2 linked regions of the Lonchura striata genome follow. Each later gene encodes a partner of the first gene's protein in a complex. Links are inferred from orthologs where the notes say so. Each region holds a gene or a part of one and is shown on either strand. Other genes may lie near its edges. The genes, in order: guanine nucleotide-binding protein G(q) subunit alpha and F2RL1.

Region 1 (15,322 bases):
ACACAGTGGGGCTCACCTAAATCATGTAGTCCATTACAGTAGTTTGTCAGATGATTCTGCCTGAATGGATTGACAAAGGAGGAGTCTTGCTTGGTAAGGTTTATTTTTGTCCCTGGAATAGCCACACCACCTTCTCAAGTGCAGAATGAAATGAACAACAGTACTTTTCTGTTGGCAATTGCATCTGCATCAGGGTTCTGGGATAAAACTCTGCACTACTGATAAAACAATAAGAAGAATGTTCAAATTAGGTAGTTTAATTATTCCCTGCCATTTGTCCTTTGAAAACTTAAAAGGACAAAAATCTGTAGAAAATCATGCTTCAGCTTAGCCTCAGTATCAGCACTACTTATTCAGGGAACAATGTGGTTTCAGGACACTTCAGATTTTAAACTTTAGTTTAGCCTGAAAAAACATTTGTGCTGTTCCTGGAACTCTCCAGGAACAGGAGACTTTCCAAACTTTTAACTTCTAAAACATTGGTATCTCTTGGACTTCTTTATCCAGTTTTAACATATCTAACTTCTTTGCACAGAGTTAATAATATTTAAAACCTGTGGCATGCTTCCTTCTTTTTGGCCAACATCATGTGTATGACTTCCTAGTGTTGCCTATATGCTAATTCTTCCTTTGTTTTCTTCTGCTTTCCTTCTCTTTGTTCTTGCCAGGTTTGATAATTACAGTAAATAAAAGGTGAATACTGAAAAACTTCCATAATTTCATCAGTAACAGCTGTTCATACATAGCTACATTTGTCTACAAGACTAGATTTTCTTCAGTCCTCTACCATTCAACTGAAGGAAAAGATATTGTGCTTGTAGCACTCTATTCCTGCAACAAAGCTGATCACCATTAATTTGACCTCTACCTTACTTTATTTCACACCTCTGTGATTTGTTTTTCAGAGATTGCAAGGCAGTGCTTTCCCCTATGAATTTGCTGTTACCATACAACAACACAATTAATTTGAAACAACTAAAGGAGGAGAATTAGTATTTCTTCATTTTGCAGTACACACTTAAATGCCCATACTCCAAAGATTTCTCTGCTCAGCATATATTTTTTCATCCTACAACAATTTTTTCATTCAACATTGTTTGCCAGTGTAACATAAAAATTAGGGGCCACTTGGCTCTTTGAAATGTAAATAAAACTAAATTAGTCTGAATTCTTTAACTGTTCAGATCATCTGCTAGTTCCTATTAACTTTGGTGGGTGTAGATCACTTATTGAGTAGTAAATACAAAAGAGCAACAAACCCTTTTTAATGGCTGCATACAAGGTATCTTTTTGTGGTGCACCAAAAAGGAATGATCTTAAATATTTTCTAAATATATGTTCTTCACATTATCACACTGATATCCAAATGATGATTTGTGTTTTCCTCCTCAACAAAAAAAAATGCTCTTATATATGGACATATCTGTGTATATGAGAATACATCAAGGTACTGAACCTTCAGAATGAAATTTTATTTCCTTAGAAACAGCTTCTGCTAAATAAGAGATATTTGCCTATCTAGCTACAATATGTATTAAGAGGTAAGTAAATTATTTATAAACATCTACTGTGTCAATTACCTAAATTATTTGAAAGAGTTCAGCGTGAGTAGGACAGACTGATAAAAATACAAGCTACAAGAAAAATAAGAAAGCTTGTTTCTCCAGCTGAAGAAGTTACATGAAACAAGAGTCTGCCACTGTTGGCTTAAGGGACCCATTTACTCTTCAAAGTATCTACACAAAGCCCACCTCTGTGAACACACCAAGTTCCGCATGTTCAACATCTAATTCGGCTAACACAGCTTTAAGAAATAATACATATTACTATGTCCAAAAGCATCTTTTGGCATAAGATTGACTGCTGTTCACGCCAATTCAAATGGCTTATCATCCATCTAGTTTCTGTGCTACAGCACAGAGAATAGAAGGACACTTGTATCAAGGCAAGTCTCTTCACTGACACATTCACTATCTTAAGTACCTAAGAAGTACCTAAGTCTTAAAAAAATGCTTTGCACATGACACAATACCAACCAATATGCTGCAAAAAAAAAAAAAAAAATAGCACTGTCACACATATCTCCAGTACCTAATCTGCCAGAGTTTACAGACACATAGGCATAGCTAGCACAACACCTGCAGATTATTTTCTTAGATACTCAAGGCATTTCCCAAAGAGAAAATAGTGTACAATATTAATGTATACAGTCTACAGGCAGACTATGTCCAGGACTGATGGTTTATGACTACAACCTGTCTGTCATGCAGGTTCAAATGCTGCTTTCTGAGTCCCTGGAAAAGCTACATGGATGGCAGGAAAAAATTACACATGGAAGCATGACAAAAAATACATATGCAAGTATATAGCTCTTACTACTTTAAAATAAATATGTATATAAATGTATAAAATAAAAGCATGCAGAACACATTGGCATAGGCCAAAATAAAACATTAGTACACCTCTTCATTTTCTCCCTTAATTATAAAAACAATGTGTTTTTACAGCTAAGAGTAAACAACGGATATTAACAACTCTAAGCTCTGGAGAACAATCACGGTTTTACAAAGTGTTCATCAATAATGACATCCAGAAGAGTTAAAGTACAGATTAAAACTAAATTCAGTGGAAGACTGAATTAGTTCCAAAGTGTCTCAAAAGACTACAGACAAGTTGTGCTAGCTGAAACTACTACTATGCAATATGCTTCAGTGCGCATTCCAATTGCAATTGGAAAAATTATTTTGTCCTGTTCTAATATGTTTTAAAAAATCAAATAATGATGTACAAAAAAGTACCTAAAAGCATTATTTTAATGTTTAATCAGTGTTTATTTTTAAACTAATACCTAAAAATAATCTTAGCACACAGTGAAAGTTTTGCACAAATTACCTCCGACTTTGAACTCTTTGATTTCATGAAAAGTAAAAAGATACCATGAGCACATTAAACAGTGTGCGTGTTTTTGTGTATGTGTGCAGGCATCTGTGTGTGACACAGTAGCAGTTCAGAGAAACCTGTTTCCAAGAAGGTACTATGTCTTTCACAAGTTAAGGAGGGAAAAAAATCCTTTTCCTCTGAAGCAAAAGATTAATTTTTTCGTTATGTTTGCTACCCGTATGCATTTTTATGTGTGTATATCTAATTTTTAAGCAAGCGTAATAATAAAACAACCTAACATAGATATGCTTGTTTGTGCCTTTAAAGGTTAATAATACCTTTCACTTTGCACTTGCAACTAGTCTGAAGAACATGCATAGCCACTTAACGAGGCTCAGCTTACACTACACTAATATTCTTTAAAAGTCAAAGGATATTCCTTAGTCCTGTATTTAAAAATCTTAACACGCTTAGGTTTTTCAGACCTATAACACTTGAGAGAGTGGGACTGCAAAATTGGCACTTCCAGAAAAGAAAAAAAAAAAAAAAGAAAAAAAACCAAAGATGTTCACTTATGTTTACATTAAAAAAACCAGCACAAGTGATTTTCTCCCCAAAGCTGAGGGGGAAAGAGATGAAATGGGACAGTAAACATTTATTTAATATTAAAAAAATCAGATTATTTTAAATCAGATCGTTTTCCTGCTACCAGCCTCACTATTTTTGATGAATATTTCATTCGAAAATGGTTTCCTCTGTCTCATAACCATGTAAATGACCCATACAAACAACTTAGCATTCGTTTTACAAATAACTGAGCATTTACTTATGCTAGGGAAACAATGAAAGTGGCTAAAAAAAAAGTGTTCTAAGGTACTTAAGATAAATCCACTTATGAAAGAAGTTCCCATAAATTTCTTTTAGAAATTGAAACTTAAGTCTACAAAATACCAAGACACCAAGAGTCTTTCACTACACACTGCATTTCTCAAGACAAGATCATTATGTTAATCCAAATGTGCGCATACTATTTCTTTCAGTCAAATATATGACAGAGGCTGAGAAAACATTAGTCAGAAAAAATGCATGCACAGTAACAATTTCTGTACTGGTTTTATTAACCAGGTGTATGGATGTGCTCTTAAATACATGCAGCCAAAAGTTCACACCTCCAGATCTCTACATCATGCCTCCACTTTCACAAGCCTGCTGGAAGTCTTAGCTGGCATTGATGAACTCAAGAGTTTTTCCTAATCTTTTCTATGGGTTGGTTTCTCTCCTGTTCTTCTTCAAATCACCACACATTATCTGGTCCAAAGTGATGCCATAACTGGACTCCAGTCTACCACCATCTACCTCAATACTTCATGTTAGTGGTGGGAGGACCTTGCAAAGCAGCTCAAGTTCCGTGTTCCTAACTGCAGAATCTCTTCTCTAGGAAAAATTTCTTCTCTAGGTAATATATATTGGTCTCATTCAGTGAATTTCATACATTTCTGAAAATCTGGGAGAAGCTTCTAGCACTACTGTAAGAGATACCGAGAACATACAGAAAAAATCTGGACCTGAATAACATGTCAAATGTATGAACTGCCTCTCCCGAAGCAAGTGTCTATCATTAATCATACTTAGACATCCATAATATTAAGCAAGGGCAGTCTATTTTATCTTCTTTGTGCATCTCAGAGATCACACTGCCATAAACCAAAATCAGTCAAAAATCCAAAAGAACATTATTATTGTTGAGTGCTGCATCCATGTCACTACTTCTCTCCCAGATCCGTTAGAGATCCCAACCTTGTCTACAAGGAAATAACCTTCAAGAAATAGCATATTCATATGGAAGCACTAAAACGAATTCAAACTTTTCCTTCCAACTTGCCTTACCTTATTGAATAGGCACTTTACTTCCTCAGTATAAACCACTACTTCCATATACATGGCCCAAGAAAAACATCTTCCCTGTAAACATCCCACATCCATTTGGAACATACTCACTCATTCACACATCAGAGAGTAGCACAAAAATACATAAAGGCCTGAGTCCAGGCAGGAACTATTACCACGGAGCTACGCGACACAGTGCATCAGACTGGACACAGTCAAGCAGATTTTAATTCGAAAGCCTTATTTTAACATAAGCCAAATTTCTATTAGATAAATGCCACCTCTGCATATTTCTAAAATATTCTGCAACTCTAAAATAGCAACCTCTGCTTTAATTAAGGAGAAACGATACAGTTGATTTTATTCCCTGACCAGTGGGTGGATGCCAAGGGTATTAAAGATCCTGTAATCATCCAGCACACTTCAGGTTACCCCTCAGCTTGCCATGTGCATCTGGGCCTTTGCGGCTCCCTTCCCTTTGTAGAAACCGGTATGCAAGCTGACCCCAAGCCCCTTATCCAACTTTACCTCAATAAATAAAAATCACAATGAGAAATGCAACCGGTGAGCTAACAACCTTGCCGAAGCCCACGGAACAATGCAGATATCACACCCGCCACCATCGACCTGCACAGCGACTCCCCCTGGGAATCCTTTCCTTAATCCGCTTCGCTACCATCGCTCTCCCACACACATCGACATTTGCCCCTCTCCCCGCAGCCCGCTCACTCACCCGCCATCCATTCCCTCTCCATTTTGGAAGGCCGCTTCCCGTTTCACACCGAACGCCCCCGCCGGCGATGCCCGCAGGCGGGCACACACGCCCCGTTCCCCGCGGCGGAGCTCGGCCTGCGGCTCCCCGCGGCGGGGGCGCCGAGCGCCCGCGGCAGCGCCGAGCGCCCGCGGCAGCGCCGAGCGCCCGCGGCAGCGCAGGCACTGCCGCCGCCCGTGCCCGCCGCCGGATACCTGCGCCGGCACGGACCGCGCCGGCGGCGATGCCCGGGCAGCGGCCGGCGGCACCTGGGGCGTGCGCGGTCCGAGGCGAGCGGCCCGAGGCGAGCGGCTCCAGGCGGGAGGAGGAAGCCCCGCACTCACCCAGCAGCAGCAGCTTCAGCTCGCGGCGGGCGTCCCGCTTGTCCCGACGCAGCTGCCTCTCGATCTCGTCGTTGATCCGCCGGGCTTCCTTGGCTTCCTCGCTCAGGCAGCACGCCATGATGGACTCCAGAGTCATTCTTCCTAACTGGTTCAGACACAGCCCCCACCCCCCCTAAACCCGCACGCACACTCGCACACACGCACCCCGCCGCCGCTCCGGCCCCGGGGGGCACAGGCGCTCTCCGAGAGCCCGGGGGCCGCCGCAGGGCAGGCGCGCAGGCAGAGCAGCCTCGATGCCACAGAAGGGCAAGAAGAAAGGCAGGGCCGCTGGCGGCGCGGATCCCCGCTCCCTGCCGCTGACACCCGCCGCTGCCAACTCCTCCTCTCCTCTAAATCATGCACCGAACAACATGGAAACATCCACCGCGGCGGCAGCAGCAGCGCTACCCAGGCGAGCCGTCCCTCGTCCCGCTGCTTCCCTTCCCTCGCCGCCGCCCGCAGCCTGCGCGGTCCCCGAGTGTCCCTGGCGGCCGCCGACACCCCCGCCGCCCTCCGACGCGACCACCCCACCCCCGTGGAAGCGTTAATGCCCACTAATCCCTCCCCCGCCCCGCACACGCACACATCTCTCCGCCGCTCCCCGCCCCCAGAGCGGGAGCCCGGCTCCTGCGGGGTGGCGAGATCGCCGCTACCCGGCAGGAAGAGCTTTCCCGCGGCCGCTCCTCCTTCCCGCCGCCTCGGCCGCTCGCCCTTCCAAGAAGGAGGCGGGCGTGGTGGTGGTGAGGGAAAGCGGAGCTCGCTGTCGGAGAGCTGCCGCTGTTCGGCTCCGCTCGGTTCGGCCCTGCTCGCGTTGCCGACAGAGCAACGGAAAGGGAAACGAGTGCACTAGCAGGGGTCGAGCCCGACCGGCTTTTAAATGGTCGGGCTCCGCGGGCGTGGTGCGGCAGGAATATGGCGGCGCGGCTCCCGCCGCCGCTCCCGCTCTCTCTCCGCCCCGCCGCGCGGCGGGGGCGAGCGGCCGGGGCGGCCGATCCCCGCCCGCGCTGTGCCGCCCCCAGGGCCGCGCCGCCCGCCCTGCGGCGGCCGAGGGCGGAGGAGGAGTGCGGGAAGAGACCGAACGGATTCCCACTCCAAATGGCTGCGAGGAGCTGTGCCTGCTCCGGCTTGTCCTGACGGGCAGCGCTTTCCCTAACGCCTTGTTTGCTTTCGCTTCCTTTGTTTTTAGACGTGGGCACACATTTTTATTCGGTTCCCATCCTAGAAGAGATGAATTGGGTTGGCAGGGTCTGGCGGAAAATGTGGCCGGCTGAAAGGAAGGAAGGAGTAAGGAGCCGAAAATGCCTTTTCCACCTTTGGCCGGAATGGGAAGGCAGAGCGGGATACGCGCACACCGTCAGGCACCCGGAAGGTTTAGCGCCCTGACTTCTTGCTGGGAAGGCAAAGCCGTGCGTTCGGCACGAACGCGCTGGGACACCCCACGGAACGCCACCGGCGTGGCCGATACTCGGCTGCGGTGAGTTCTATTCGCTCCTCGCCCCGGCCCCTGCCTTAGGCCCGATTTCTGGAAAGCATCCCCGTGTAGCTTTCGGTAGCTCTCGGGGTGATGGCATACAATCGAGCAGAATGCACTCATACACCTTCTAGTTTTTGTGAATTCATAAACTCCTCACAGAATTCCCACACCTGCACTTCCTTTGGCCACCTCCATTTTAAACTACTTGTATCTAGGAATGTTGCCAAATCGGTTGTGAATCTGGTACCTAGCCTAGATAGTGGGTAGAAAGGCACATCACTCTTTTAGCTCCATATCTGAAACCTCACCAGCACCTGCTGACATCTGTTTCGAAATTTATATGCGCTTTCCTAAAAGCTTCCATATGTACTGATAAAATTATTTAAGTAAGGTCTGCTATAAAGAGCAAGACAATGAGGGAATTAAAAATAAACATATAAAGATAATAAAAACAACCAGGAAAATAATACAACCAATTTTTTAGAGCATAAAAAATTACTTATTAAAAATTGCATGATTTTCATGTAGATCTATATTGTACTGGTATGAATAGTGTGTAAAAATGATTTATACAACTTGGAATCTTTTTACTTCATTCCAGTCAATGACTTTTAGTCAAAATTGGGTAGATTAAGCTACTAAGAATAGACTATATTTCACTCAAAGCATATTCTCTCTTTTAAAACCTGTAGGTATAGAAGTGTATCTATGTATTCACCTGTATTGTGTACTGGTCCCAGATGTATTAATATTACATGCAATTTAGATTTCTAAAGTGCCAGCAGTGAATTACAGAGACAACGAGTAACAGAAAAAGAGGGGGAGGTTACTTCAAGGAAACAATTATCAGGGTTTTTGAGATATCAGGGTTTTTTCTTCTAAATGCCAGAGTCCAAAAGAGTGAAGGTGAGTATGGTAAAGCTCACAAGAAATTCTTGTTGGATATTTTGTACATTGTGCCCAAATCCACAGCAATCATCTCCAGGAATCACATCTTGAAAAAATATTAGGAACAGGTCAATGAGTTTTCAATCTTTAGGTAAACTGAATCAATATCTTCTCCAAAACTGAGGGCACACTGTTCTAATAAAAACTGTAATTGTCTACAGTAGAAGAAGTTGGACTAAACTTTCTTACCTGTTTTATATGCTCAGTATAAAAGGCATGAACACAGTGTATACCTCAAATGTAGAACTGCATTTAATTTTGCATTTTTAATAAGACAAGACATGCCACAGACCATAACTGTAATCTGCATGTACCACTTTTATTGATATAACTGGATTTCAAATATTTACAGAATAAATATCTTCATATTTTTAATGGATGAGCCATCTAGTCCTGAATATGGCATCAACAGATAGTCATTATACACTGTTTTACTCATTTGCTTCATGACTTAGTGAAAGTCAGAAGAACCCCATTATGGATAATTACATGATAATAAACCTATGAGGAGATTTCTTTCCAGACCTCAATTCCATAATGATTGGCTTTTGTTTTGAAATGTGAAACATCCTTTATAAATATTTTATCCTAATAACAACTATCAGTAAATAACAGAAATCTTTATTGCGTATGCAGGTAATTATTATCCATAGATACTATCCATGCTGTTATCTAATCCTGGACAGATACTTCCTGATAAGCCTCCCGTAGCACTAATCTCATATTCCTCTATCCAAGTAGTCTCTAGTGCATGGCTCATAGCAACCCATTGCTTGTGAGATGTTTTGATGTTGCTTACTGCCACAGGAAATTAAAAGTGAGACTGTCAGAGGGAGAAAAGATATACTTGCATCCTTGGTATTCTTACTCATAAAACAGTAAAGATTTGGAAACTACCACTATGTTTAATCATGTCCATAGCATTCTTTGCACTAAGCTATCTTAGTTTTCAATTTCTTCCTTCCATATGCCTAAAGATATTTATTGTCTCTTTTTTCCGTCTTTTCTGCCTAAGAAAGGTTTTCTGTGATGTTTTGACAGGTTCCAAATGGTATCTGAACTTGGTACTCACATGACAGTATACTAGAAGATTGTGTATAGCAACATCATAGGATTTTCATAATTTGTGAGTGCTTTTTCGTTGCCATTGTTCATTAAGAAGATATTTGCACAGTGCTATGCAGAAGTACATCCCAGTCTTGTTTGTGAATGTTTCTAGTAAATTTAGAGGCTGTCAGTATGTCTGAGTTGAGCAAATTACCCTTCCAGTATGCCCTCCTAATCAGGTTTTTCTTTGCTGGTTTTGTTTGGGTTGGAGTTTTTTGTTGTTGTTGCTGTTGTTGTTTTTGTGTGTTTTTTTTGTTTGGTTGAGTTTCTGGGAGGTTTTTTTGGGTTTTTTTTTTTTTGTTTGGTTGGTTTTGGGGTTTTTTAAAGGGGGAAAAACCCAAATAAAATGTATCTGCTGTTTTCTGCTGTTAAATGAATAACATCCAGCAATTTCCTTCAGCAGATATCCATTTGTTCCAGTGTGTTTTGACAAATTATCTTCTGAATGTTTCTCAGTGTTCCTTATTTCAAAGCAAAAAGTGTCTGCCAAGGTGCTAAGGTACAGACCAATGACTAGGGAAGAGTTAACCCGCTGTTTTCTCATCTGATTTTTCTGGAATTTTGGAAACTTCTTCCCTTCTGTGTGTTTGTATGTCAGGGTTCTTATGGAAGACCTGTATCTGAAAAAGCTTTTTTTATTTTTTGAAACACTTTTGTTCTTCAGACGCATCTCTTAACATTCTTTTGCCCCGGCACTAGAAGAGGGGTGTTGTGCAGAGAAGCGCGTGTGGCAGTCCCCGAGCGCAGCGCGGTGCAGGACGCGCACCCCGGCTGAGTGCGCTGCACCAGGAGCCAGCATCCTGCCCACACCACTCCTCGCCTGCCTGCACGGCCGCTGCCTGCTCCAGCAGGACAGGCTAGCAGCCGCATGATTTGGCACCTTAACTGTGGGCAGAACTGAATCCTGGTGTATTGTGTTGGGTGGGAATTTTTTTGGTTGTTAGGGTTTGTTGGTTGCTTTCTTGCTTGCTTGACTGGGTATTTTCCCAGAGTTTGCTGTTTAAGGATTTGTATTGTCTTTCACAAAGTCTCAGCTGATTCTTCAATCCTGTTTGTGGAAAACGTCTAGTAGGCACAGTGTGATCCAGACCACCACTTCTGTGGGAATAAGCTGCTGTATCACCTGCATGAGCCAGTTGTTTCTCTATTGTTCTGCACAAGTCTGCTGGAACAGGATCATAAATTTCAACCCTGAAAAAAAAACAAAAACCCAAAACAAAGCAAAAAATCTCACCACGCTTGACCTAGCCACATGACACAAATTACATTAATAAATTGGTAGAGTATGAGCTGATACTACAGTAATATGGCCACTCACTGAAAAGGAATACTTAAGTCTTCAGTATCGGCACCAGCTGTTTCTCTGATTATTTTTATTAGTTATATAGGTTAAAATCTCCCAAAAGTTTCAGCAAAACCTGTGATTAAGTGTTCAGGCTAGGATATACTATGGGGGATACTAGTCTTCCCCCTCTGTGACATGAATTATAAATTAATATTTTGTCATCGTAGAAATACTATTGTTTCTATCAAAATACCTTTTATGTGTATTTATTATGTTCATCACATTCAAGCACATTTTTCTTTCAGTTTATAGAATATTTGACAAGGTGGCTTTTATTCTTCATGGATTTCTTATTTTTGTGCAAGTCCAAAGTAAGTTATTCATACATATAATCACACCAATTTATTAACCTAGAGAGACTTTGTATAATGTCTAGTTCATTTGCCATCAGTAGGACTTCTTATGCTCTGCTAGGTTAATGGTATTGTATGTTTAGATTATTTATCTAAAACTTCAAACATTCTATTCTAGCTTTTATTCTTACCTTACAGTCTATTCTTGGATATGTGCTTCCTAATTCTGATTTCATATAAGTTTCATAGCATAGTAACTCCATCATTTTCAATGGAATTGCACTGTTTTTCAGTATCATACACAGTAGTGTCAGATCATGAGCTTCCTTTAAGATATTTAGCATAAGCATTGTAATTGTGTGACTCCTCCAGTTTTTTCAGTGGCTATTTCAGAAACAGTCTAACCATTAGAAAGCATAAACTGATCAGCCCTCATTCCCATTTTAGTTCTCACTGTCACAGGACAGAGGCAAGAGGTACACATCACCCAGACAGAGGTAATTCTTTTGGTATTTCATGGAAAAGTATTATTTGTAAATCTTTCCATCATCCAAAGATTGCATTAGCAGAGGTTATTTTCTTGCAATCCAAAGTATGTCACTAGAAGGACCACAGACAGCTATCTCATTGCCCATAATTTTAAAATGGAAGACTAATCCAAAATCAAAGCATTCTTCAATGCTTTCTACAATCTTGCACCAAAGTTTAGTATGTAAAGTGAAAAACTTTTTCTAGTGAAGATGAACAGAAAATAAATATCCATTTGCATGTAATAGTAGTTCATAAAACTATTTTTTCAATATGCAATTTATATACAAATTAAATGCAAGAATTTAGAAGGTTTAGGAATGAATTCTGTACTTTATATGTGCTTCATGTCTTGTATTAATAGGAGCATCAATGTATTTTGCACATTACTACTAAATCTTCTAATAGAAATCATAAGTAAATGTGTGAGGGATAAGTGACATAAAGTTATGACCTAGTCAGTTGTGTTTTCAGATGAGCAAATAAATTATTTTTATTGATATATATAATTTTAAAACATTATAGCAGAAGCTCATCATGAGACTGTTTCAAGTATTTATGGTTTTAAAGTGAATGCAGAGAAGGATCTTAAGACAGCAGGTGATCAGTGTTTTCCTCTGAGTGGAAGTACAGTAATAAGGGAAGTATCTTTCTTTCTCTATATGAAAATCTATTAGAAAAAATGGTCCTCATTAAGTCTTATGCAAAGCCATCACAAATACTGACTAAAGTAGTATTTCCACAGAAGTATTTAAAGTAGTGGAGAAAATTGAGTTGGAAGATAGCAAAATAATTGGCTTCCATTTAATACTTTAGGAAATATCGAGCAGGAATCAAGGCACTCAAGTTACGTACTGAAGTAAAAATGTGGGTTGAGTTGTAAGCCTCATTTTATAACTATAATTACAGTTGCATAACTTTAGTTATACCTATAACCTCAGTTTATATAACTATAACCCCAGATAGCCAGATAGTATGTTTCTTCAATAAGTATGGGATGATATATAAACTTGAATTTGGGCAGAAATAGGAAAAACTCTTATGCCTGAGATGCACAGCTAATAGTAGCAGTGCAGTGATTGCTGTTATTAGTCAAACTACCCCGCAGTTAACATGGCATTTAGATTGTACTCTTAAGGAAGATTGGTGAATCTATTATAATATTTAAGGGAATTACGGAAATTCATTAGTAGGGAAAAGGATAGCATTTTTTTCGTTTGTCCTAAGAGACAGAGAAAAGAGACTTTTCAACACTTAGAAAATTCTGATTTGGGCATATATAGAGAATTGGATAGCGTGCTAAGATTGTTTAAATATACAGATTTGGGTAAAATCCATGTATTATCCTGGTATGGGTATAATTGCGTGGCGGGCTGTAAGTGTACCATATTTCTATGGAACTGCTTCCTAATCTGATTGTATTTTGAATTGTGGATTTGCATTGCCTTACAGGGAACCTAAATAAAAATCCTCTCTAATTTTGGTTTTGTTTTGATTGTTATATATTAAGAAGATTGAAAGAAGCAAAAGTGGTTTTTTTTTTTTTAACTCCAAAATAAAGAGTGTTTAACAGAACTGAAACTTTGAAGAGACTAGGAAATTTTAAGAAGAACCAGTGGTTAAATTTTAGTTTGGATACTGAGAGAAACAGCTGCATTTTGAATTATATTGGATAGCCAAACCTCTTTTATTTATGAGGGGAAACTTGTCATTAATACCTGCTTCTGCTAAAAAATCAGTTGTAAGTCTGAGATTTACAGGGAAGAAAAAAAGCTTTGAGCTCCCCCTACTGTTGTTTCTATCCAAAAGGATGGAAAACCTGAATTTTGTTTTGATGGATAAAATATCAGTCAGATAGAAGAGAAATTAAACAATACAGAAGTACCACTTTAAGTTTCTGGTAATGTGCTATTAACAGTTGAGAGAACCAGGATGTTTAAGGTGTTTTTTAAGTTGTTAGTTCTCTCAAAGATTTTGGCATTCATAGCATAATGTACATGAGAATATATACCTTCACATACAATAGTTTTCCAAGTTTTCTATGTGAAGATATGATTTAGTGTTTGAGTATGCATACACTTAATCTTGCTCTCTTCACATGAAATTGGTGGATCATAAAACTTACTAAATATTGGCATATTCATATTTACTTTTCCAGATAGCTTTCAAAAAGCTGATATTTATTCAGGTAAGTGATTTAGGAACTCCCACTGAAATTTACAATAAATTGCTACTTGTAAATCTAGTTTTTTAGTCCCTTTACATTATTACTATTGCAAGTTACAAAGAGTACTTTAAGAATTAAAATTCTGAGCTATGTACTGATTGACATTACAAATACTTTTCACCAAAAGTGTTTAATCTCATAATGTCCAGATTTGTGTATATAATATAGTTTCTGAGTTCATCATCAGTGCTCATGATCAAAGCACTTTTTATCTGTTTATTAGTATTTCTTTGTTAAATAAGATTTTTTTTTTCCAGAAAAAAAGTCTTTGCACAAAGGCTGAGCTTTTTTTGGAGTTCTGTGCTTTCATTATTTTAATAACTGAAAAACATTAATGTGCTAATTATTTCAAGTCTTGTTACACCCATTCTCATAAAGAGTCTCTGCTAGTCTCTTTACAGGTGACATTAAGGTGGTAGTATTGTAGCAAAAAAAAAAAAGTCAAAATTCTCTCTAATGTATCATACATTTATTGGTACTTTTCCTTGAATTTCCCTATGGAGTTCAAAATTCTTCTAATGAAATAATCTTTTTTTTTTACCATTATGATTTCCAAAAAGCAGTTAAGCAAACCTCTATTTCTTTGGCCTGGTAACACCAAATACCATCTGTTCCACATGGAGGTGTGGGGTGAAGTGAAAGTGAGCTGGCGCAGGGGTCTTTCTAGATTTCAGCGAGAAAGACCCAACAACAATTGGCTTAATCTGGGTAATTCAAAAAGACAGATGAAGAAGAGGGGTACAGATAGTAGCATCTTATGTTTCCTCAGGTGATGGGCACTCCATGCAGCATTGAACAGTGCCCCAATGGATTTTCCCATGGCACACTGCACAGAGCACATCCTGCCAGGGGAAAGAAACTCATCCTTTCAATCATTTGAGGTCATCTTTAACTTCCTTACAAGAAAACAGGTTTTTTGAGGGCAAGTCCATGGAGGATATATCATGGCAGTGCTGAGCAGGGGCTACCCATATTAATTGCAGTGTACAGCTGTCTCCCAGTCAGGACCAATGCATTCCATCCCTTGATCCCTATACATTTTAGCTTTCCCAAATATATGTTGTAATTTACAAATCATATTAATAACATGGCATTATAAAGTGCAAGTTCCAATAGGAGAAATGTGGCCTTTTCAAGATCACCAGCTCCTCAGGTTTAATGTCTTCTGCAAGGACCCCAAATCTACCTGTACTCTTTTCAAGGATCATATATCATATTGCACCTTTGTGATAGTTCACGAGAAATTGATTTTTGATGCCGCTTTGCGGTCTCATTAGAGAGACAGCAATCCAAGATTCATGAAGACATTTGTTTTTAACCTCAGATCATTCACAATTTTTCTGTTCCCTATATTGTCTAGAGAAGGGCAATGAAGCTGGTGAAGAGTCTAGAGGTAATTCATTTGAGGAGCAGCTGAGGGATCTGGTGTTGCTTAGCCTGGAGAAAAGGAGACTCGGGGTGACCTTATCACTTCCTAAAACTACCTGAAAGGAAGCTGT
Region 2 (15,170 bases), about 11 Mb from region 1:
AATCTTATTTAGTTGTCTTAAAAAATACAAGGCACATTTTATAAAATCAAATAGCTATCCATCAACACTTTGTTGTATATCCCCATATGAGATCATGTACTGGCAAATGTTAAGTAACAGTGGATAATCTCAATTTTTTTATCCCAGCGCTAGCTGATAAGATCAGCTTGTTAACTTGAACAGGATAACATTATAGGTTTTTGCTATGTTAGTATTTACAGCACAGTAACTTGGAAAACATTACATATATTATGTCAAAGAGAATAAGCAGTCTAATCCAAGATGGCGAAATGGATTCTCCTCTACGTCTCTCTACAGCTTCAAATGATGTTCAGTGAAAGCAGGTAGACAGAGCAAGGTCCTATACACACAATCTGTTCAGATGCTTAAAACATTACAGTTGCAGTTAAAAAAAACAGATTTTTATGGTAATTAAAAATGCTAACAATACTGCATAAGATTCCAGAGACATTTTTCTTTTTAGCAACTTTTATATTCAACAAGAATGTCTTCAGCCTCACTTCTAGGTCAGCAGCATTTTTGCACAGCATCTGAAATGTCTTCTTTTTTTCCCCCCAGTTTCTCAGGAATATTTATTTGCTTATCATTTCTACACAGAGCAAATGTCAGTTCCAAATTCCAGACTTCAATGTAATTAAAATGCAGAGGTGTTTCTTCAGAATCTCTTGTACAAAATAAGTCTATTGTCACTCACATCCTTCCATCAGTAATAACAAAAGTTCATTTTTCTAAGATTTAACTCAGTAGGTTGATTTATTGGTCCTACTTGAGTTTGAAGAATAAGAACTCGATTTCTTGGGGTACCTGCTTGATGAGAGAGACACTTGCATCCTCTGTGTAGTTCGCACACTTTGGCAAAGAAGAGCATATTTAAGGTTGTCTCTGAAGTCTTTTGAAATATAATAATAGATGAATGGATCAACACAACTATTCAAAATGGAAAGACACAGTGCAGTTATGTACCACACATACAGATGGCTCTGGCTGTAGGCTTTGAGGAGTGAATAGTGCACAATAATCAGCACATTGCTAGGTGTAAAACAGATGAGATACATGGACAGGACAACAATAATGAGTTTGACTGCTCTTTTTCGTTTCTTCCCAGTGCTTACATCTATGATGGAAGCACTCAGGGTCTTAATCATTAGAATGTATGCAACAGCAGTGATGATAGCTGGGATTAAGAAGAGTCCAATTGCAAGTGAGAGGAAATAACTGAACATATCATGGGCTGAAACATTTTCAGGTAACACATCATGGCAGGTTGTGATGTTAAGATTTGAAATATATGCTGTCTGATTAACAAGATACAATGGTATGGTGCCCAACACAATCAGTATCCAGATAGCAATGGAGATGCCCAAAGCAATTTCTGATTTTTTTTTTGAATGCACTATGGGGTTCACTACTACCCAATACCGTTGTACACTGAGACATGTCATGAAGAGGATGGAACAATACATGTTTCCATAGAAAAACGCAACAAATACTTTGCAGAGACCTTCACCAAATAGCCAGTTATTGCCATTTAGATGGTATGAAATCTTCAGTGGGAACCAGACAACAAAAAGAAGGTCTGCCAGTGCCAAGTTAACCATATAAATCACAGCCGGATGTTTCTTCTTTGTTCGGAAAAAAAAGACCCAGAGGGCCATGGCATTGCTTGGCAAACCAATTATAAAGACAAAGATATAAACAATGGGAATGAAAACTGTAGTCAGCTTTCCTGTGAGGACTTCTGCTACAAATTCATCCACCTCGTATAACTCTTCAGAATTATTTGCATTTTGAGCCTTATAGCCAATGAAACTTCTTCCTTTTGGTTTGCTGGAGCCATCATTCTCTAAAAAAAAAAAAAAAAAAAGTTGTTACTGTTGTTGAAGTACAGACTTTTTGCCCTTTTAAAAAATAAACTAGATACAGCAATTTCCTCTGAACATTTACAGAGAGCCTGATCAACCAGAAGATTAAGACTGATGTTCAAACACTTGATTTATCTTCCCTTTCTTTTAAATTTATTATCCAAAAGACAGCCTTTATCCCTTCAAGAAATCAAGGATTCTACCAGAAACAAAAACACTTCTCCATGTCACCAGAGATATTAAAAATGCCTTGTTAAAAGTGCATTTTAAAAATGGGCTGTTGGGTGCTCCTACCACCTGAACAGTTACAGTAGAAACTGCTTCAACTACACCCCAGGGCACCATTTTCACACAGCAGTGCCAGATCTGAGTGCTGGGTCACAGAGAACTTCACAGCAGGCTAATTTAATTGCAGTAGAAGCTTTGCCAGTTTAGATGGCCCAAAAATCAGGTATGTAGTAAAAAGAGAACATACAAGTAAAAAGAGAACATACAAGTAAAAAGAGAACATTCAGTAAAGCCAAAACTGAAAGTGAGATGCCATGTCTAAAGCCATGCACAAATAATCTCCAGGGCATGCCACATGTTACGGTGTATCTGAACAGAAATTTGAACAGACTAACTCTGTGCATGAAGTGGCAATACAGTCCTCATCTGAGACATCCTTCAGGAGAGTTGCTCTCTGTGGTTTCTACTCGAAGTATCAGGTGGTAGAGCCGACAGCTAAGGCTGCTCCATACTACAAGCCTTGCTCTGCCTCTACAAATACTGTGGGAGCTTACAAACCATATGGGTGAGGCAGGTGCTCCTAACTCGAGTCCTGTAGGACAGACTTTGAACAGCCCAGTTCATGATCCCTGCACTCACAACACAGTCCTCCTCTGCTAACAGGCTAAATTGCACAAGCAATGTCCTGGAATGCACACCATTCCGAAAAGTCAGACATTCACCTACAGACATCCAGCTAAACTGTATGGACATGGTGGCTGCCTGGTTTAGGGAGGATAGTTTCTAAGCTTAATATCAATATTTGTGGATTTATGTAGCCAAAGCCTCCCAATTGTAACATAAAAAGAGTCTTTTTGAGTACCTGAACAGTGAGCAGCCATGAACAATGCTGAAGCATGGCCCATCCCTTTATTAAAATATAATTAATACAGTTCCAAATGAAAAAATGCTTCCACCTTAAATTTTAAAGAATTCTTACACAAGAAATATGTAAATACACAAGTGTGCTTTTCTCAGTACAGATTCCTCGAAGCAGCCCAGTTTAGATAGCTGCTCTTTTCAACTTATAACTGCAAAAGTCTGATGTACAGCATTAGATTTCTGTCTAGAATCTGCAACTTTCTGAAAATGCATACAAAAATATTGACAGTCTTCAGAGTTTTGAATTAAGTTAACTTAGATTCACTTGAGCACTTAAAAATCTCCAGGTCCAGGCAGCCTTCACTGGGAAACCAAGGTGCAAGAAAACTGCTGATTTCTTAGGCTCACAGCTTAGCTGAGAAAGATCATGGAGATGCTTGGAAGCAGATCCTATAGACTATTGACAGCAGTGATCAGGATACAGTAATAAAATGCACCATATGTTAAGCATCTGTCCATCAGAAAGTGGTCGATATTATCAAATAGTAGTCATGCTATTTTCACTCCATTCCTAAGACTCAAATTATTGTGGAGAACTAGAAGAATAAATACTACCACTTTGTTATTACTAAAGGTTTGTGATCAGATATAAAACAATGATTTGCAATTGAAGTTCAGAGGTTAGGTAGAAAAAAAAAGCCTCATCAAAAAGTCCTAAAATGTTAGTATGAGACACTACAGTAAGAGGTACACTGAAGTGCATGCACAGATACCTGAACCACAGACAGGACTTTGTATTGCTAGAGTGTCAGAACAGGGACAAAGGTTTGTTTTATTCTACTTTGTAAGACACAGTGATTTCACAGACCAAGTCTTGTTCTTATGCTGACTTTAATTCGAGCCTCAAAATATACTGGGCAGCTTTTTTCAGTCCAACTAGAAACCTATACATATAAGGAGACAGCGTCCTGTTTCCCTGCAGTTAACACTCCCTCACGGAGCAACCGATCCTTTGTTAGGAATGTGCATTTCTACATCCTTTCCTTACTCATTCACCACTTGCCGTTTTCCATAACAATCGGGCTCTTTTCCAAGACCAGTTTCACCCTGCTTGACTCACATACAGAGAATGCTGTTGACTTGCTAATCTGCCCACGGGAAAAGTTTATTCTCTCCTCCCACAAAAGACTGTTTCAATACCTTTGCCATTTGTCCAGAAGATATAACCCACTACATACCAAACACAGGATTATGCCTACCCTGCAGACACAAAAGTGACAGCAGCACGGATTATGCCAAAATTAACTAGTTTACTCATGGCAGTAATACTCCCAACAGGACTAAATTTAAGATTATCCTGTTTTTTTGATCTGTAACCTCCCTTGTCCCCGAGAATTCCAAACTCCTCACTCCGTCCAGGCCAGACAATTAGGCTATTAAATGGCAGCTTAATTTCAGGAACTCTGGTCTGAAGAACATAATTTGCAGCTACCTAGCATCGATCCCTTGAGAAAATATGACGTATGTTTGGCTTCAATACGTATACAACGTATATCCTATACTTAGCTTCAATATTTACACAATCTTTACGCGTATGATTTTATTAGGTAAATAAGCCTGGTAAATGAAATATGCAAGGACACAGTGAAAAGGTATGCACAGATATGGCAATGAGGTTTATTATAAAATGTGGTGAAAAATTAACTTCAGGCAGTGAAGTATTAATATGAATGACTGTTTAGGTTTTTTTCCTCAAACTTCACTTATATTCAACAAGCAATAGCACAGACTAAAAATTTAAAAAGAATCCTAGCTTTTTAGATTAGGGAAAAAAAAAATCAAGAACATGGTCTTTAAATTTTTTTTTTCATGCTTATCGCAAGGGGAGGCAGGAAGGAGACTACAAGAAAGTTGGAGAGGGGCGTTTTACAAGGCCACTTAGTTTAAAGACCAGATGGAATGGTTTTAAATGGAAATAGAGTAGATTTAGACTAGCCAGTAGGAAGAAACTCTTTATGTGAAGGCGGTGAGGCGCTGGAACTGGCTGCCCAGAGAAGCCGCGGATGCCCCGTCCGTGGCAGCGTCCACGGCCAGGCTACACAGGGCTCTAAGTAACCTGGTCCTCCCTGCCCGTGTCAGGGGGAGAGGGGTGGAATCAGACACGAGCTTTGCGGTCCCTTCCAAGCCAGCCCGCTCCACGATTCTGTTCCAGGCGGGTGAAGCCAAGCCCCACGCGTCCCACGAGCCCTGAGGGGGCTGCTCGCCGTGAAGAGCTTTCCCTCGCGGCCGCGGAGCCCTGCCCACGGTGCCGGCAGCCGCACTGCCACCCGCACGAGTTTTTCGGCTCCGCGGAACCCCGCCCCGACCACTCCGTGCTCCCCGAACCCCAGCCGGGCCGGACACCTGCCCCGCCGGCCCCGCTGCTCCGCTCACCTCCAGCAGCGGCGGCAGCTCCCAGCAGCGCACACCACAGCAGCAGGCACAACCCACGGCGCGCAACCATCTCACCGCGCCCGGCCGCCGCCGCTCCGGCCGCGCTCACCACCAGTTTCACCTGATACCTGAGCGGGGCGGGGCGCGGGGCGCAGCCGGGCCCAGGGCCAGCCCCGGGGGCGGGCCCAGGCCGGGCCCTGCCCTCAGGGCGGCGGGCGCGGTGCCCGAAATGGTGGGAGCCGCTCGCTGCGGGCTCCGCTCCCCCGGCGCAAGATGGCGGGCCGGCCGCAGCCCGCCGGCTGTCGGCCGCCCTCGGGCCGCGCCTGGCAGCCGCGCGGCCGCTGCGGGCGGAGCGGCTCCGCCGGTGCCGGCCCTCGCCCTGCTCACGGGCACCGCGCTGCTCGCGGCCCTGACCGCCCGGTGCGGTTGTCCTGGGGCACACCGGCGGGACCCCGCAGCGTTTAGTGCGAGCACAACACAGCCGTGTTGTGCTTTCCTGGTGTTTACCCTTCCGTGTTACATAGCATTACAGAATCACAGAATCGTGCAGTCTTAGGTCAGGTTGGAAGAGGTCACAGAAAGTCATCTGATCTAGCCTCCCTGCCCAGGTAGGGGCCTCTGGAGTGCATTACTCAGGATTTTGTCCCGTCCAGTCAGCTTTTGAATACTTCTGGAGAAGTATTCACACCTTTTCTGGTCAGTCTGTTCAGTGCTCTGTCACCCTCACAGTAGAGAAGTTCTGTGCATCAGTTTCTGCCTGTTACCCTATTGCTTGGCACAACTGTGAAAAGCCCGGTCCATCTTCCTGGCAGCCTCCCTTCAGATCACTAAAGACATTGATGAAGTCCAGTCTGTCATGGGCACTGTGGGTATCAGACACTCTCAGCCTTGTGGTGTCAGCAGACTCTCTGAAGAGGCCCTTCATCAAAGTCATGGATGAGCACATTAAACAGTACTGGGCCCATATGCATCATATATGGGTTACATGTGTCATATGACAGATGGGCAGAAAAATGTGTAATGACTGTTTAACCTACATGCATTTGTGGTACTCTGCTGGCATGACCCACTAAGAAAGTTTAAGTAAGACGTTTTCACTTGGCAGCTTTGCTTAAGCTTAGAATACACCAACTTCCCTTTGGTTTTGCAAAAAGGGATTTCAGGAACAAAATTAAGCACAAAGTAATGTCATCAGTATTTTCTGTTTATCTGCACAGATACAAATTTTGAATGTTTTCATTGTCATCAGATAAAGCACACAGCTTACCGAATTCCAGAATTAAAACCATGTGTTCAACCCTGGTTCACAGCTGCAGACAGAAATTATCTCTCTACCTTATTCTGCAAAATGCTCTGTGTTCAAGCAATAATAAAATTGCCTTCTTTTCCCTTTTTTTGAATGAGCATTATATTTATATGAATATACTCTGTTTTACGTGGTTCTGAAAGAGAATAAATTTTTTTGGTTTTGTCTTTCTGTGATGCTCACGAGATACAGTTGTCTGTGAGTACAGAGAGATGAAGGTAAATGGCACTGGGAAGTTTTGGGTGTCAGAATTGAGATTAAGGGTCTCTTGTTTTTGAGTCTTTGTAATAAGTTACTGCATGCTTAAAGCACAGTTCCTGTTTGTCATCCACACAATTTACAGATTTCTCATCTAAGTCCCAGCCTTCTAGCTAAACACTGGGAAAGTCATAGCCCATCCCTCCAGTGTCCCTCCCTTTCTCACTTTCAGTACTATTTTGTTTACCATTATAAACCACTTCATAGACATTTAATCCTGCTTTTAATCACCTTGTACCATGAGCTGTAGTCTTCTCATTTGGATCTATATTTAGCCTCCCTTTACTAGTCTCCAGAGTTTTTCCTCTCAGATCTCCATTACTAAGGAGTGGTCAGTCTTTCATCCTGTTCTGATGTAGCCAGTGCTCTCCTGCCAGTTCCCTGTTACAGTTTTCATTCTTAGTTCTCTCTTGATTTATTCCATCCAGTCCATTGTTTTGTCCCCTTTACATTCAAAGCAGAAAGCTCCTTCTCACTTTTGCTTGGATCCAGCAATAGTGGAAGGAAATAAGCACACATGGGAAAAGTATTTATTGCTGTTGCTAAGTAAAATCTGGTCCTGGCTGTCCCATGACAGACCAGAGCTACAACTGGAGAAGCTCTGTGGCTATGTGTAGAAGCACGTGTCACTGCAAGTGCATCTTCTGGAAATGCAGCTCTGGACTTTGCTCCAGGTGAGTGTAAGGAAATTATACCAGCATAGGTTTGTAATGCATCTACTTTATTGTAGAGGTTCAGAAACATGTAATTGATGGGAAGATAATTTCCTTTGAAATTTTATATAATTTAATATAAAATCATTAGATTCTCAAACAATTAAAAATGGAGCTTATAAGAGGGAATGCCAGATGACTTTAATATCAGAGAATTCTATCAACCTGTCTTATAAGAGAGACCTTATTGCAGCCTTATATAGAGTGGGCTTTTGGGAAAGGTGGGGAGAAACATTTTACCTGTAGTGATAGAACAAGGGCTAACATATTTAGCAAAAAATAAAGTAGATTTAGGTAAGGAGAGAGTTTCCTTACTGCAAGAGTGGTGGAACAGCAGAATAGGCTGCCAAGAGACATTGTGGACAGGACATTTCTGGAAGAGTTCAAGGCCAGGTTGAATGGGGCTTTGAGCAATCTGGTCTTATAAAAGGTGTCCCTGCCCATGGAATGGCATTGTACTAGATGGTCATTAAAGATTTCTTCCAACACCAATTACTCTATGAGTCTCTAGCAAATTAATGGTTTTTGGCACTTGTAAGCAGCTCCTGGTGCTTTGACCATGCAGTGCCAACCAGGCTTTTGTTCTGATTTTGTTCTGCTCAATTGAAAAATTAGAATTCCCAGTTTACACTTTTGAAGGCATAATATTTGTTACAAAGATTCTCCACATATAGTCTATAAATTAGTTCTTTCTCCTAACTTAAATAATATTTAATAGAAACTAGAAATTGTCTTACTCCTGCTCAAATTACTTGGACTTCTCAACAGAGCATGTCAAAACATGCCTTTATTGAAGACAGCTGATTTGTCAAACCTATTTGCAGTCCTAGCAATGTCTATTTTTCTTTCCAAACTATTTGATAGTTTGGAAAGAAAATTAATAATTTATAATAAACACAAAGCAACTATCTTCTTGTTCACACTTGTTTATCATTGGATAATAATTGACCTAAATACAACTGCCACAGGAAAAGTAACTATGTGATTGTAGAGGCTTATGAAATCTTCATTCTCTGTTATAAATTGGTTTCTCAATTTTCTTGGTTTTCTATGTACTTTTCTTTTTCTGTTACATATATATATATCTGTGTGTGTCTGTGTACACATATATATATAATACATATACATGTATATATAAATATAAAAAATACATATACTCCTATGTTATATTGTAATGAGTTGGGGGAAATAATCTTTAATACAGTGGCTTGAAGGGAGCTTTGACCTTGCACATCATTGCTTATCAAAGCATACCCAAAGCTGACAAAAGATAAGTGAACAGCAGCTCATAATTCTCTGCTCTGTCAATGTTTGTTTGGAGATGTTGTCATAAGAGTCTTGTGCACCCTGGGACAAAGGCCATTACTGGAAATATACCCTCCCTTCCACTTTGAGTAGCTGGTGAGTATGTTTTTAACACAGTCTAGCACAGGGGCTCCAAAGGGGACCTTCTCTGATATACTCCTTGGGCCTTGAAAATTTTAACATCATGGCAATGTCATGTAACCATGAAGATACGTTACTGTCAAAGATAATTATTACCCCTTTAGTAATTGAGCAATGAACGTGGTTTCATTGCAAGGCACTTGTCAGTACTCATGAAGTGTGTACTAGAATAAACATGTGGGAGCATTTTTATTATGTAGAGTTTGTGTGTGTACTTTTTTGCTCCATGGGAATTTCTGAATTCAGATGGCAAATATGCTTTTAGTGTGTGGCTTATTTTAATTATATGGCATGTCTGTTGCGGGAGAAGGTAAGGGATAGTTGCTTGTATCTGACACAAATATATGGATTTTTTTTTCTTTTTTTAAGGGGAAAAAAGGACTTGGTTTAGGAAGGGAAAAGGAATAAAAATACCCTAACTTTAAATATCAATACGTCTTGTAGGGTTGGCACAACACTTAAAATATCCTTCAAGGAATCTGGCCAGTGCAAGTATTCTCAGAGGGAGGGTAAAGTTTGGGTCAAATGAAACAATGTGAAGAATTTAATTTTAAAAACTAATGTGATTTTGATTCAAAAGAGCTGATGTATTACCTCTCAGTGCTTTAGCCTGCCCTCAGGCTAGCCACCTGTCTTCTTGGAAACTTAGATGAGTACCTGGGTACTAAGTTACAGTAAGACTCTGCTTTAGTAATGGAAGACCAGGACTGTGGATATAATAAGCATTTTTGATGACTCATTTCAACATCAAGTAGTTTTTTACAGTTCCTCCTTCTGTATCTCATTCTTAAAACCCTCTGTGCCATTTTAAGTGGTCTCTCTTGATTATTTTCCTGAGCCTTTGAACAGGTCTCTATTTCCTGCTTGGTTGGCCTTGCTGGCAGACCTGTTAGGTACTACATGAGGGTTGTCACTAATGCCCTTGCTCTATGTGTGTCCAGCAAGGAGCCTAGGGAACAAGAAATTATGGGCAGCAGCTGTATATTTTCCATTTCTCTGTGAGCAAGAGTCCATTTTATTTCATTCTGTGTTTAAGAAGTCTGTTCCATTCCCTCACTTACCCCATCTACCCCAAGATTCTTGCAGATTTTTTGAAATTCTGACCATGTAAAAAATATATAAGCACAATATAAGTCTATTGTGCTGATATGTTATTATGTTGTTACTATGTGAGGTGCCAGTGTAGTTGGCTTAGTAATTTATGGCATTTTTGGGGTTACTGTGTTGGCAGAACATCTAGGTAGTATTGGCTATTTTAGGTGATCTCTTAATGGTTACTGGGTATCATCCTGATTTGCCTTTCCTGACCTTCTGCCAGCAGCATCCTGTGTTTGTTTCTGTCTTTGGCTTTTAATTCTGTGTGTATTTTCACTTTCTTCAAAAGCAAGATCCAGGGTTGGGGCTGGAGGTATAACAAAGAAATGTGGTTAAAGTTGTAGATTAAAATGTTAGGTATTCTCAGTGCCTGAGGGGTAGAAACATAGATGGCCCAAACCAGGCTTCATGCTGACAGAGAAGTAAAGAGGTGGCTCCTGTTCACCATAACTTGCAGTGATAGAAGACTTGTGTGTTGAATTTAGTGAAACAGTTTGGTCTCAGCAGAATGTAAAGCAGGGCTTCTGTACTGCTGTTGACAGTTGTTTAGCATGAGGTACATCTATCTTCAAGTGTCCTTGCAGCTACATGAAAAAAGCATGTTAAGGTATTAAAATCAAGCAATTGAAAGTTAGGAGATGCTCTCATTTGGCATTCTGTTCAATTTTAATTCATCATTATTGTGCATATGATTTTTGAAAGGGATTTAGTTATGACCTCATACTCAGTCTTTCTATGGTTCACTTCATGGAATGTGCTCATGAAACCACAGATCTTGTACTTGCACCTCTACTTATATGTATATATACACTTGAAACACCACTATTTAGCTAGTTCTGATCCTGCTGCTATTGAAAACTGGGCAAGAACTCTCTCTGTATAGATAGAATACAGAGAAAAGGATGTGCAGATTGCTCAAAACTCAGCAGTACAGCCACTAGTTTAGGCTGAGTTTGTAAAATTGTCTTGAAGGGAATTGAAATTTATTTTCAGTATGGGTTTATTACAATTCTTGTCTTGTTTGTACCTCTATGCTGGAAGGAATACAGGGTGGAGTGTATAAAATAACAATGCCTCTTCAGGTAATATGAATCATTACATAGTGAATCACAAACATACTGTGTTCCCACAATGTTGTGCATCAAAGAAGTTGTTGTATGTAACATATTTCTATGTAGTTTGTTTGCTGTTCCATTGAGCACCAATGTATTATTTGTTGGATATTCTTTACTCCATCAAAATCTTCCCTAAAGAAAACCTAAAGTCCAGAGATGTTGTAAATAACTGGAAAACCTGAAGAACGTTTGTGTTCTAAACACTTTGTTTAGTCTAAAGAAGATTTGGAGAGACTTGATGACATACCTAAAATATGTCCAGGGCTGCAGTATATTTTCAATGTTCACTGAGTCGACTAAAGTTTTGGCAGAGCTAGATATTAGGAAAAATGTTTTAACAATCAGCACCAGTTTTCCTGAGTGCACATTTTCTAGAGAATCTGTAGGACATCCATCATTGGCACTTTTAAAGTTTAGACAAACAAGAATGATGTAGGTATGTCTAGTTCATCTTGACAGGAGAATTAGGTGATGCCTTGAGCACAGAAGTAATGCCTCCAGCACAATCATTAGTGACTCTACAGCAATGTTTCTAGCTGAATCAAATCCCAGTCCTTTATTGTACTGACCTCAGTGGTCTTACTTTTTGTTTAGAATCTGAATACAGTAAGATTTGGTGTCATGTTCTACCTTGTGATTCACCCTTGGTGGTTTCACAGACATGCACTTCTGTTAAAAAAAAAAAAAATGCTTTCAAGATCCTGTCTAATCTGATAATCTGATTCTGGCTAGGAACATTTCAGATCATTACTGAGCAATTGTGAGTCAGGCAACAAGGCGGAATCTATCTTTACCATTTGGGAGAGAAACTTGTTCAGCCCCCCTGTATTCTTGCTTCCCCACCACACAGATGACATCAGTTTTCCTAATCAAAGTAAAGACTAGGAGCCCAGAGGGAGAAGCACCAGGTGGAGCACCGAGGAAAACCACCACCAACTAGATTTCAGAGTAGCAGTAGACCTCTGAGGAGCCCCATGGGATTTGTACCTACTTTGAAGAGCTAGACCACAGGTGTGGGTAAAATGCCAATCGCAAACCACAATGTTTGGTGAATGCTGGGAATAATTGCCTTTTGAGTCTGAGATAAAGAGCATGAAGAGAGTGACATTGAACCTGGTGACCTTCAAAGAGCGGTACCTCATGCATCTACTTCCACCAGCCATTTAATATTTCTCATTTTACTGGAAGTATATTTTTGAGTGTTGTTCTGCTGCCCCTCTTACTACTCCTCACATCACAGTTCTCAGTATTTTTGACTCCTTCTGACTCATCTGTAGGGGATGCCTGTGGAAAAGAAATTCACAAATCAAGGGAAAAAGTGGTGATTTATGAGTAATGACTTGGTGATGCTTTTTTGTCTTTCCCTCTCAAGACCCCTTTATCTGCTTGCCAGAACTAAAACATACTGTGCAGCATTTAAATAAATCTCCAGCAAATCCACAGAGAAGAAAAATGTATGTGGAGAAGCAGGGATAGGCTGAGAAGTTTTGTGAAAGGAAGAACAGTCTTCCTCAGAAGAGTCTCATGAAACCTACACAAAGTTAAAATGGTAAACTTGCTTTAATCTAAGCCATAGTCAATAAAAGGCAGGTGGTGCTTTACTGCTGAAGTGAACAGCAAATACAATGTGAGCTGTGATTTGGTCAGTGCTTTCTGCACGTGTCAGTTTCAGATGATGTTGGTTTCAATTGCCTCAGTTTTGTTGACAATATGTAATTATCACAGTGTAGATAAGTCATGAGACAGCTGTGGGGATTGATGAACTCTGAGAATTGTTGATGATTCCTTGAACTTAGAGTTTGCCCAAGCAGTAATGCTGTTCTCAGTTGTGAATGAATGCCAAGAGTCAGCATCCATTTAATGGCAAAAATGAAATCCTTTGCACACTGATTAAGCACTTGCTAATGCTGGGATCTGTCTAGTCTTTTTAGATTCCAAATGGTACTTTCAAAGAGCAAAATAGAAATTAATTCTGAGAGCTTCATGGGAAGATCTCTGTGACAAGATCCTAGTTCAGTTGGACAGATTAACATGTGACATTCATTCATGATGGGGCTAACTGATGTAAAAATTAACATTGTAAAATAAAGGAGGGCTTTAGGACAAAATTCCTAAATCTGAAAACTCTCCTACTCTAAACAGTTTTTCTCTATGTAGTTGCTAGGTCAACTTTCCATTTTTAGGACCCGTCTCTTACTCATCCTTGAAATTTGATACTTGTAATAAATTAAAAGTCGTAACTTTTAGGAAAATATGATTTATTCAATCACAATATCATGTTCTAAAATGGAATGAGTCTAAGGTTTGTACTGTATCTGGTTATTTCCCCATTTTTATTCTGCAGCCTTTGGAAGTTTAGGATAGCTGCTAGTTTGAATTGCCCTTTAAGTTGCATGTATGAAATACAACATTTTGGCCACATCTCCTAATCATTTGTGAAAATTGTAACAGAATCATGCATTTATTAACCTCTGATCATGAAGATGACCTGCTTATTTAGTTGGTATGTCAGCATATCCATATTATGTACATTCATTTCTAATTTATCAGTGATCTAAATAAGATATGAACAATTGTAATATTTCTAGTCATCACAATAGTGAAATATTGCAACTGGCATCTGGTAGAGGATGGGGGAAAAGAAAAATACTTGAAAAGCCATAGGTTTTTTTTTTTTTCACAATGCAAATTGACTTGTACTATCTATCCCATATCATCCCTTTGGGTTGGCCCATAGGCCAGAGTAACTACCTAAGAATCATGGCATACTTATCCATAGAGAAGCAGAATTGTAACAGCATTAGTTCTCCAGTCTGGTTGATGCCTGTGTTGATGTAAAAGAGACAGTGTTTCAGATATGTGGTTTAAAAGTCCAAGGGCAATGAGTGGTCAGGCAGTTCACATGACAACAGTCCTGGTTTATGATATTTAAAGGATGCATGATGTTAGAGTTCAAAAAAGGCAAGTAGAAGAAATTATTGTTCTGGCATTGTGTGTTTTGGCAGGGACTATTGTAGTTTTATACCAATAGATTAATATCAAGGAAGTTAAGCAATACATATAGCAATGACTCTTGCAAGCTATGTTGAACAGGATTAAAGTTAACTTCTACAGCTTGGCATAACATACAGAATGGTCACATTAACAATTTAGGCATTGACAAGAGTCCAACAGTATTTATGGCACGATAGAAAGTACTGAATCACTTTTGTATAAGACCTGACTAGGCACCTGGCAACACTTCAGTCTATTCCACACAACTAGGGGCTGGAGTCAACCACTCAAACACTCTGAACCATGCTCAAATATAAAAATCATGGCACAAAGGATGTCCAGCATGTAGGAGACTTGTGAAGGTTCTTTTCAAATGATGCTGGGCATGCAAGAGGTTTCCATAAATTCTCATGAAGGTGATGCAACTCTTGTGGATTACTGAAGAGACAAACCATAACTAACTGGTGAATTTCCCTGAGCAGATTGTAGTATTTGTGTGAGAGAGTAATTGGGGAAATACCATTAGTATTTGTCCTCTTTTTATTTTCTGTGCATCTGCTTATGGTGACTTTTGTGGCTGGTATCCAGGACAGTGAGTCTTCCTTTGAATAGTGTGGTCATTTGCCATAGTTCCCAGGCTCTTCTGAGGTGTAGGTTGAACTTTAATATGGCCATGTGTCATTATGGATGTCATTCAGATTACACTTGGATGTCCTCCATCGCTTCTCTGTGTTTCCTTCTGTGTGCCAGCAAAGCCACAATTTGCTGATGAAGAGGACTCCTGGAGGCATTCTGTGCTCTCCAGGAAGAACAGCTGTGTTATGCATTGGCAGGATCT

The links.
Region 2: the proteins of guanine nucleotide-binding protein G(q) subunit alpha (region 1) and F2RL1 are in contact, whole or in part, in a cryo-EM structure (PDB 9D0A), measured with the Homo sapiens proteins. The link is inferred for Lonchura striata from reciprocal best matches to the Homo sapiens genes GNAQ and F2RL1. Residues at the interface, in NP_002063.2 of Homo sapiens: Arg37, Ile323, Tyr325, Asp346, Ile348, Leu349, Gln350, Asn352, Leu353, Glu355, Tyr356, Asn357, Leu358, Val359; in NP_005233.4 of Homo sapiens: His108, Pro109, Ala110, Met114, Gln172, Arg173, Val176, Ile177, Pro180, Met181, Gly182, His183, Ser184, Arg185, Met265, Met268, Leu269, Met274, Asp275, Asn277, Lys280, Lys281, Arg284, Ala285, Leu288, Ile289, Tyr344, Tyr345, Val347, Ser348.

What each region holds. Positions count from the first base shown.
Region 1 is NC_134642.1:24,299,554-24,314,875, forward strand, and holds the start of guanine nucleotide-binding protein G(q) subunit alpha, read right to left. Parts: upstream 6,414-15,322; 5' UTR 5,999-6,413; coding exon 5,863-5,998; intron 1-5,862.
Region 2 is NC_134642.1:13,373,080-13,388,249, forward strand, and holds the start of F2RL1 (proteinase-activated receptor 2), read right to left. Parts: upstream 5,515-15,170; 5' UTR 5,476-5,514; coding exon 5,406-5,475; intron 1,865-5,405; coding exon 762-1,864; 3' UTR 1-761. UniProt on the Homo sapiens protein: Receptor for trypsin and trypsin-like enzymes coupled to G proteins.